2 linked regions of the Nothobranchius furzeri genome follow. The protein of the gene in region 2 binds, or shares a complex with, the protein of the main gene of each other region. Links are inferred from orthologs where the notes say so. Each region holds a gene or a part of one and is shown on either strand. Other genes may lie near its edges.

Region 1 (4,127 bases), on a different chromosome or scaffold from region 2:
CCCTCCAAAAACGAACATCCACACCACCTCGTTTTAAAAACAAACTCTGTCCACACGTACCCGGATAAATACGTTGTTAAGGACATGCCAGACCTGTAGGTGGCAGTACTTCTCCCGTTCTTAACCTCTTCCTTCGTCTGTGGTCTTCCGTAAGGAGCAGTAATTCCGCTTGCAAAAACAAACAAGCAAAAAGCGCTTGGACAATTGATAAAGCGAGCGCAGCTCTGAGGGCATCCATGCTGTCGGCTAGTGTAAACACAGGTCGCACACGTGATGTCAGCATTTTTTTGTCGCGGAAAGTGACGTTGCGGACCTTAAAACTCCGGTTTTGTCTGTCCACACGCAGACACCCAAAACGGAGAAAACGCAGATCTTCACTTTGGCCGGAGTTTTTAAAAAGATCCGTTTTCGTGTGAAAAAACTCAGTTTTCATGTGGATGACAGGCCAAAACGTCGAAAAATATCTACGTTTTGGCAGATCCCCGGCTACGTGTGGACAGGGCCTAAATCCCAATAATAAACATTTACGGCTGTGCTGCGTTATCTTAACAAGTAGAGCAGAGTTGGAAAACTAGTTTTAACCTTGTGCAGCAGATCCCCCCAGCTGTTTTTCTGGTACGATGAGATCGTGATGTGCAGAGAGTGTGCTTCTGGAAGGCAGTCGCCCTGATGGATGAACCCTCGGGGGAAGTAAAGGAGATCTCCGGCTTCTAGCACCACGTCCAGGATCGGCTTCCCGATGTCAGACTGATCAAAGTTAGCTGAGGAAATATCCCAAAGGAGAATCTTCTGAGGAACGTTTGCAACAAAGCTTTAAAAGATAAAACTGCTGCACATAACAAAACCTAACCATTTTCTCTATGAAATCATGCTAACAGTTTACTCACGACTTGAAAGTACGGGCAGAACTTCATCTTCCGATCTAGAACACAGAAAAACTAAGTAAAAACAAAGAATCCATGTGATAAATCAATGTTAACTCAGATGGTTGTCCATTAGGAACAGAGGCAAAAATGAATCAATTAGACCAGATCAAAACTATTTAGTGCATTTCTGACATTTTTACACTAAAAGGCAAAAGAAAACACATCAATGCGTCCAAATGTCACTTCAAATTTAGCCAGAATTGTTTAGTAAAATGTTAGCACGCTAAAAGGATCTAAAGCTGACTCTGTTTTAGTTCACCTCGGGCTGTAAACTCGCCAATGTTTCTTCCCCTCCAGCTGAACCACAAAGGCCTCGATGTCGTCATAATGTGGAGCAAAGCCTTGAGTTCCAGGCGGTGTCAGGTATCTGATTATATAAGAGATAATTAAAACATTTAAAACTGAGATTGGGCAAAAACAGACTTCTGAAACATACACATTGGCTCCTGCCATGCTGCCAAACTGCTCCTGGAGGATGGACAGCACGTTCCACACGGTGGAGGAGAACGCCTGAGGATTCAGCATGCGGACCGAGCAGCCGCTCTACAAAACAAAAACCACTTCTAGCTTTACACGTTTACATCATGCTGCAGTTCTGCACCGAGAGCAATTAGATCATAAATGAGACTATTGCACTGTTCTCACATCATAGAAGTCCCACACGGTGAAGGGCAGAGCTCTTCCTGGGGGATTGTAAGTTTCCCTCTTGCCGTTAACGTAGCTGGTCACATCCAGGTTCACGCCATACTGAACATCTTCCTTTACAGCAAAAGCTCTCTGGTTGAGTTTTGTTTTTATCTAACTGGCTCAATGTTAATAACATTTTTAGCAAAAAAATTCTAATAGAACTTGATAATTATTCTGAGATTTTTTTAGATCCTTACCTCCCTCAATATGCGATCAAACTCAGCCGTTGAAAACAGACCCTTGTAGTAATCTGGATTGCTGCGCTGCACAAAGACGGGCTTCTTTTCCCAGGTTTCTCTTAAAAAAGAAAACGGCAGTGTGTCTTTTAAAAATCTGCACGTGATGTCTTGCATTTTACCTAATTTTCTAGTTAAAACACTGAAACAATCCTTGCATCCTTCTTATTTCTGATGCTAAATCCAACCAGCTGTTATATAAAGCTGCATCTCACTCTGGAGGGTTTCCTGTAGCAGTTATGGTCAGTCTGCCACAGAAATAAAAAATGACTTGGGGGGGGGGGGGGGGGGGGTGTGATTGTGATGTGCAGTTACATAAAAACACACTAAAATGATGGTTCAACAGAGGAGCTCCAGTGTGGTCGAATCAAGTTGATAAAAACTACCTGAAAAAGTCTTTGATGGGAACGGGTCTCATGATCCACTGAAGCAGCTTCCTGGCTCTCTCCCTGCTGTTGTTGACTTTAGCCAGCTCAGTCAGAACAGCCTCTAAAGACTCTCCAATAACACACTTCTGCACCTCCTAAACACACACACACACACACACAAGTATTGTTACCACAGGTGATTCAGTATCTTCATTGAAACACCAGGTCCGCATCCTTACCTTAGCATCGGTCACTGGCGGCAGGAACTCCTCTCTCTGGGCTGCCTTCAGGAGCTTTTGCCGGAACTTCTTCCTCTTTGCCTTTAACGCTTTAACACTGACAGCTGGAGCCGCACTAACTTTCCTCTTTTTCTTCACTTCCACCTGATGAATCATACATGTGAGGGCAAAAACCAAACGCAGCCGAGATGATGGAGAAAACAAAGTGCAGAGAAACAACTAAATTAACGGGAAATGTGGAGTCGACATAAATGTTAAACACTCGCACCTGGATGGAGGGCTTCTCAGCAGGAGGTGGACCCTTTGGCCGCAGACCTTGATACAGAGAAAAGGCAGACATGTGTTTTCTCTCCATTTCTCCCAGTTGCTCAGACGTCATCACCATGCGACGGTTTCTTCTGTAAACCCTTCTGTAGATCTATGTCTTTATTGACTCACTACCGCCCCCTAAAGAATCGCGTCATAAACTACAGACGCAAACACAGAATTTTTCACATTTGAACAAAGATAAATAAACGAATAAACAAACAGATGACAATTTTAAATGTCAGCTAAACAAATAAATATTTTTTTCTTCTTTCATCCCTGCTGTCTTGAACGTATTAAGTTGCAAACGTGTGTGTGTGTGTGTGTGTGTGTGTGTGTGTGTGTGTGTGTGTGTGTGTGTGTGTGTGCATATATGTATATATTTTTTTATAAAGGATTAACTCAATTTTCAGATTCAAAACACGTTGTCCATGGCTCAGAAATACCAAATTCCCCATAAAATACCTGCAACAAAATATTAGCTGTCTTATTATTTAAAGCTGAATAACTGCTACAGTATGCAATGTTATTTATGTTTATGTATTAATGTATTATGTATTTTCGCTAAGTCTTTTTGTATTTGTTATTTGTATGGCCTTTTGGGGTTTGGATATAAGAGGAAATTAATTGTTAGTCACGTTTCTTTGTAGGCCTAGTGTGCAATGACAATACAATTACTGTTATTATTATTATCATTGTTAATATAATATCTTGATTTTTTATGTAAAAGCAGGTAAAGAGGCCGTAGAAGTGTCAGAAATATGTGACTGTGATTTTTCCCTTCACTTTGTTATTAGTCGATCACATTTTGATGACCTTCTTCAAAACAAAGCAGAAATACAAACATTTTTTATCCTTTTTTGGTTACACATAAAGACACTTTATGTAGAGACGCCAAACCACCACCAGGGGGTGCGGTTTCTCCTGTTTTCACCCGTGCGTTGAAGGCTCAGATCTCTGAGCATCGTTTCCCATAATGCTTTGCTGCGTCCAGCCGTCTCTCCAACAATGCAGCTTTTAATGGAGCTCTGAACGCTGCGAGATGGAAACGATGCGATACCACAAGCTTGTCCGGGGACTCTAGTCGTCCTGAATATACCCTGGGATATTTCTACCGTTCGTCAAACCCCTCGGGTGGTTTTACCTCATTTTCGGGACGTACCGGACCGTTTTCTCAGCGGTAAGTAGCCTCTGTAGCTAGCGTCGCTCCTGAGTAAATACATTTTGTTGTGACCACTGCTGGCTAACAGGCCAAATGAGACATATGGCTGCTTATGTCTTTTCTCTCATCTTCACCACTGAAACATGATGTCCTCATTTTAATTCTGATCGGGACATCAAGGCAGTTCGGCTGCTTTCTGCGGC
Region 2 (4,202 bases):
GCACCCTGCTGACAATGGGACAACAGAATGGCGGTGACTGCAAGCATGGAGTGGGCGGAGGAGGAGGCCTATATGCCTCAAGTGGCATATATTTGCCACATGAGGATATCTAAAAGCATGTCATTTTGACATATATAAACAGAGGAAAAAATATATCGCAATATATATCGTTACTGCACATGCTTCAGATTATATCACAATACAGATTTGAGGCCATATCGCCCAGCCCTATATTGAGGCTAAATTAGTTTCTGTAAAATAAACCAAACACACAGGAGAAGATTTAAAAACAAACATGAATGTGATTTAACAACAAAAGTGTTCATTTTAAGCAAAGCACGACACCAGTGAAACTTCCTCTTAAAGCTGAATAAATTAACAGTTTTCGCACAGCTTCAAATTGAAAAACAAGTACACACCTTGATTAAATTATTGTATTTCTAATCAGCTAACAGACAGGTCTGCATAAAGCTACATTTTGCATATCCTTTGAAGAAGATTGTGAAGGTCTTCTGGAAAATGTACCCAATTGTTTAGGGCTGGACCATCAAATGTTCTATACAATTGAAAACAGGCATTAAGGAATCTCACAGACCAGATTTAAACGTAACCATTTGGGCGCCAGTTTTTTTTCAAGATCATAATTAATTTTGACTCAAGCTGAACGATTGACTGCATATGCAATTAAATTGCGATGTGACTATTTTCTAATCACAAAGACTGCGATTTGACTGGCAGCGAGTGGTTAGCACAATGCTAATATCATGGAAAAACCCACAGGGATGCCAATTCTTTTTTGTTTCCTTAGTTGAAAATAATCATGAATTAAATCGCAATTGCAATATCGAAGAAAAAAACTTGCAATTAGATTACTTTCCAGAAACACTCAGCCCTAATTTTGACATGACAATTTCAAAAGGTTGTGGCTTGGAAATAGAGATAAAGGTGAACTGTAAGAGAAAAATCTTCAGTAAGACTTAAGTTTGTGTTGGGAGCAAATTCACTCATTTAATTTGCATATTATGACTTTACCAGGCTAGCCTGGCCTGCCAGACTCCTCTGTTTAATTCTGCACAGAGAAGGGGTCTGGGAACTCTCATTATTATTTTTTAACCGTGTCCCGTCTGGCTGTGAAGCAAACAGAATTGATGTCTGAATGCTGGTAACAAGCCTTACAGATTTACTCTCAGGTGGATCATCAAAGCGTCTGCTTCTAATGTCATGCCTGATACTTAAAACTTTGTTATTGTTTTTAAATGCTTTGTAATTCCGACCAAACATGGAGACAGAGGTGAAAGAGAAAGGAAAAGACAAAAGGTGGGAAGAGAGGGGGAAGGGGGTCCACAAAAATAAACAATAATGAACAAGAGTCTGCTTCTAGACCTGCAGAAAGAGGCAAGAAAAAAAAAACTAAAAATTATGGGACACAACAACAATACAAGATCAAGCTATCACTGCGTCAACTTGATGAAGAAATATATAATCAACATTGTTGATTATATACACTCACTGATGGTAAAAAGTAGTTATGTCCCTCCTTCCTTTATTTTGAAAGGGAAAAAAACTGACATTCCTCACAGCCATCTAGATATGAAATATGTTTCAGTAAAACCGTCCTTCCAAAATGACTGAAATGTTGACTCTTTTGAGATTTTCTCACTGTAAAATGCTCACTTTATTCTTACATACTGCACCTGTGAAGGGTACCTGGGATGCAAAATCTAAATAGTGAAAGGAGCTTTAGTTTCGTACCCTTCTTGCCGCAGTAGATGAACTGTCCAGTGTGAATTCCCTCAGCAGCGATGAAGAGCTCTGTCCTTTTCTTGAACCGGTATGGGTCACGGAAAGCCACTTTGGCAAGGGGAGCACCACGGCCAGGGTCATGGATGATATCCTGAGAGGATCAGGTATAAAACTTCACACCAGCCTCACTCTACAAGACCAAAACCAGTTCTGAAGCATCACCCACCTTCACAATCCCCTTGATGTAACCATGGCGTTCAGCGAAGTCAATGTGACGGAGTTTAGCAGCACCTTTCCTGTGCTTAACGTGGGCTCTGAACACAGAGCCTGCACCTTTTCTCTGTCCCCTGATCACACGTCCCATCGTGTTCTGAAACAGACAGCAGAGTACTTCAGGGCCACATTTAATTGGAATTTTACAAATCAATGCTTTGCAAGGCTAACAACGCTCACCCTGTCATTTTTAAACACTCTTAAACTAATAGTCAATTTTACATAAACGTTTGAGGTATTGGGACAAAAACATTAAGATTTTGACAGAGGGAATGTTAGAAAAACTATTATATATTTCCGCTGTTAGGGCCATATGAAAGCAGGTTTAACTTCACATGTCCACAACATCTTTTACGGTGTTAGCTTAGTAGCTAATACCGCTAACACCGTTCATTAAACAGTGAGCGAAGATTTACGTGTAGTCTTTTAATTTACAATCTTATTTCTCCATCGCCTTGATTAAAGTACCGTACATCTTAAAAACACAAATTGGTGAAGCACAGTAGCCGGCCTTTTAGTCGCTAACAGCGCTACCACTCCGCCATGTCACCAAGCACTTAAAATAGTTTAATATAGCTTTTGACAAGCCAACTGTTAAAATGCTACCTAAATTAAATATGTGAACATTTTGTGTACACATATAAGTATTAGTTTGATGTGGATGACACAGAAAAGTCATGATTAACAAGCGATGAAACGGTGAGAAGCAGAAAATAGCTGTCGTACCTAAACTCCGCTGACGGAAAGAGGAAGCACAAAGAAACATCGCACGTTTTCTTCCGGGGAAACTACTAAGGGAATGATGGGAAATGTATTCTTTAAAGGCGCGAACTAGACAGATGGTCAATTTAATTCAGAATGCAGTTGTATGGAACTCAAAAAATATTCAAAATGCTGTTTAATTCTGATTAGAGAAGGCCAGGATCCCAACTGTTGTCTGCAATTATTCAATTTTATTCAAAAGTCACTCAGGTTTGTAGACAACAATTCTGAGCTTTGTTGGTGCTTGGTGACAAAACCTTTAAAATCATTACTATCGTTTTTACAATAATAAAGTCTTTGTCTTTTTCTTATTTCGTTTACCTAAAAACACAATTCAATTTATATCTATGTAACAGTGTTTACACAATGGTTGTGTGCAGTGATAAATATCATCTGTCAGATCTGGTACCAGATCAGCAGTTTTGTTAATAAATTCTTGTTTGCTACTACCTAAATGTTTTCTTTATAATTGTAATTTATTAATAAAACACCATATTATATTTGTTTTATACAGAACGTGAAACTACATAAAACCGTCAGACTGCCAAAAAAGACAACAGTTCATATATGTGAAGCCACATCTGTTTGTATAAATGTGGAATTAGTCTGTATTTTTCCTTAGCTGCTATGTAAATTAATTAATTAATTAATTAATTAATTAATTAATTAATTAATTAATTAATTAATTAATTAATTAATTCATTCATTCATTCAAAATGTTGCTTGGTGTCTTTTCAGTAAAGTTCTTAAATTTTATTTTGCCCTATATTTCATAAAAATCAAGAGCTTTTGAGACTTTGATATCAGTTGATATCTTTGCATTTTATTTTACATTTACTTTGGAAATTCAAACACATTTTCTCCGAAAAGTGTTGATTTTGGGACTACAGGACTACAGCCACTAAGACTACAACCGTAAATTCATTCTGACCAATCAAAATCATCATTGTCAATGTGCTAACATAACTTTTACGGATGTGGTATCGTAACTTCTGCAAGTCTTACGTTCAGCCAATCATCTACTGTGACGTAATTTGCAGATGCGGTACCCCGAGCCGATCTGGCTGCACGAGCAGATCTGGTACTGACACCAGCCAGCCACTAAAAGGAGTTTGGTTTGTAAGTGAGAACGCACCCTCCAAAAATGGGAACGCCCTCTTCTTATTCGCTCCTGAAATGTTACTTCACCTTCGATATTTCAAAATAAGATACCTGACCTCTACTCAGGACGCTTTGGATCGGTGGGCAGAATACTTCGAAGACCTCCTTAATCCCACCGTCACATCTTCCAGTGAGGAAGCAGAGTCTGGGGACTTTGAGTTGGGCTCTCAAATCTCTGGTGCTGAGGTCACTGAGGTGGTTAAAAAGCTCCTTTTTGGCAAGGCTCCAGGGGTGGATGAGAGATGCCCGGTGTTCCTTAAGGC

What was found. Proteins that work in one complex are often made in the same cells at the same time.
Region 1: the proteins of rpl8 (region 2) and riox1 are in contact, whole or in part, in a crystal structure (PDB 4CCN), measured with the Homo sapiens proteins. The link is inferred for Nothobranchius furzeri from reciprocal best matches to the Homo sapiens genes RPL8 and RIOX1. Residues at the interface, in NP_000964.1 of Homo sapiens: Gly213, Gly214, Asn215, His216, Gln217, His218, Ile219, Lys221, Pro222; in NP_078920.2 of Homo sapiens: Gly259, Gln260, Arg272, Thr274, Arg297, Met322, Ala323, Gly324, Ser325, Asn326, Tyr328, Phe337, His340, Asp342, Ile344, Ser374, Asn376, Thr419, Ser421, Thr422, Gln424, Tyr577.

Annotation. Positions count from the first base shown.
Region 1 is NC_091742.1:9,307,474-9,311,600, forward strand, and holds the start of riox1 (ribosomal oxygenase 1), read right to left. Parts: upstream 2,859-4,127; 5' UTR 2,842-2,858; coding exon 2,725-2,841; intron 2,601-2,724; coding exon 2,457-2,600; intron 2,373-2,456; coding exon 2,236-2,372; intron 1,911-2,235; coding exon 1,811-1,910; intron 1,704-1,810; coding exon 1,572-1,703; intron 1,470-1,571; coding exon 1,363-1,469; intron 1,294-1,362; coding exon 1,186-1,293; intron 923-1,185; coding exon 888-922; intron 762-887; coding exon 583-761; intron 1-582. UniProt on the Homo sapiens protein: Oxygenase that can act as both a histone lysine demethylase and a ribosomal histidine hydroxylase. Specifically demethylates 'Lys-4' (H3K4me) and 'Lys-36' (H3K36me) of histone H3, thereby playing a central role in histone code.
Region 2 is NC_091754.1:29,838,225-29,842,426, forward strand, and holds the start of rpl8 (large ribosomal subunit protein uL2), read right to left. Parts: upstream 2,824-4,202; 5' UTR 2,743-2,823; intron 2,114-2,742; 5' UTR 2,108-2,113; coding exon 1,970-2,107; intron 1,895-1,969; coding exon 1,753-1,894; intron 1-1,752. UniProt on the Homo sapiens protein: Component of the large ribosomal subunit. The ribosome is a large ribonucleoprotein complex responsible for the synthesis of proteins in the cell.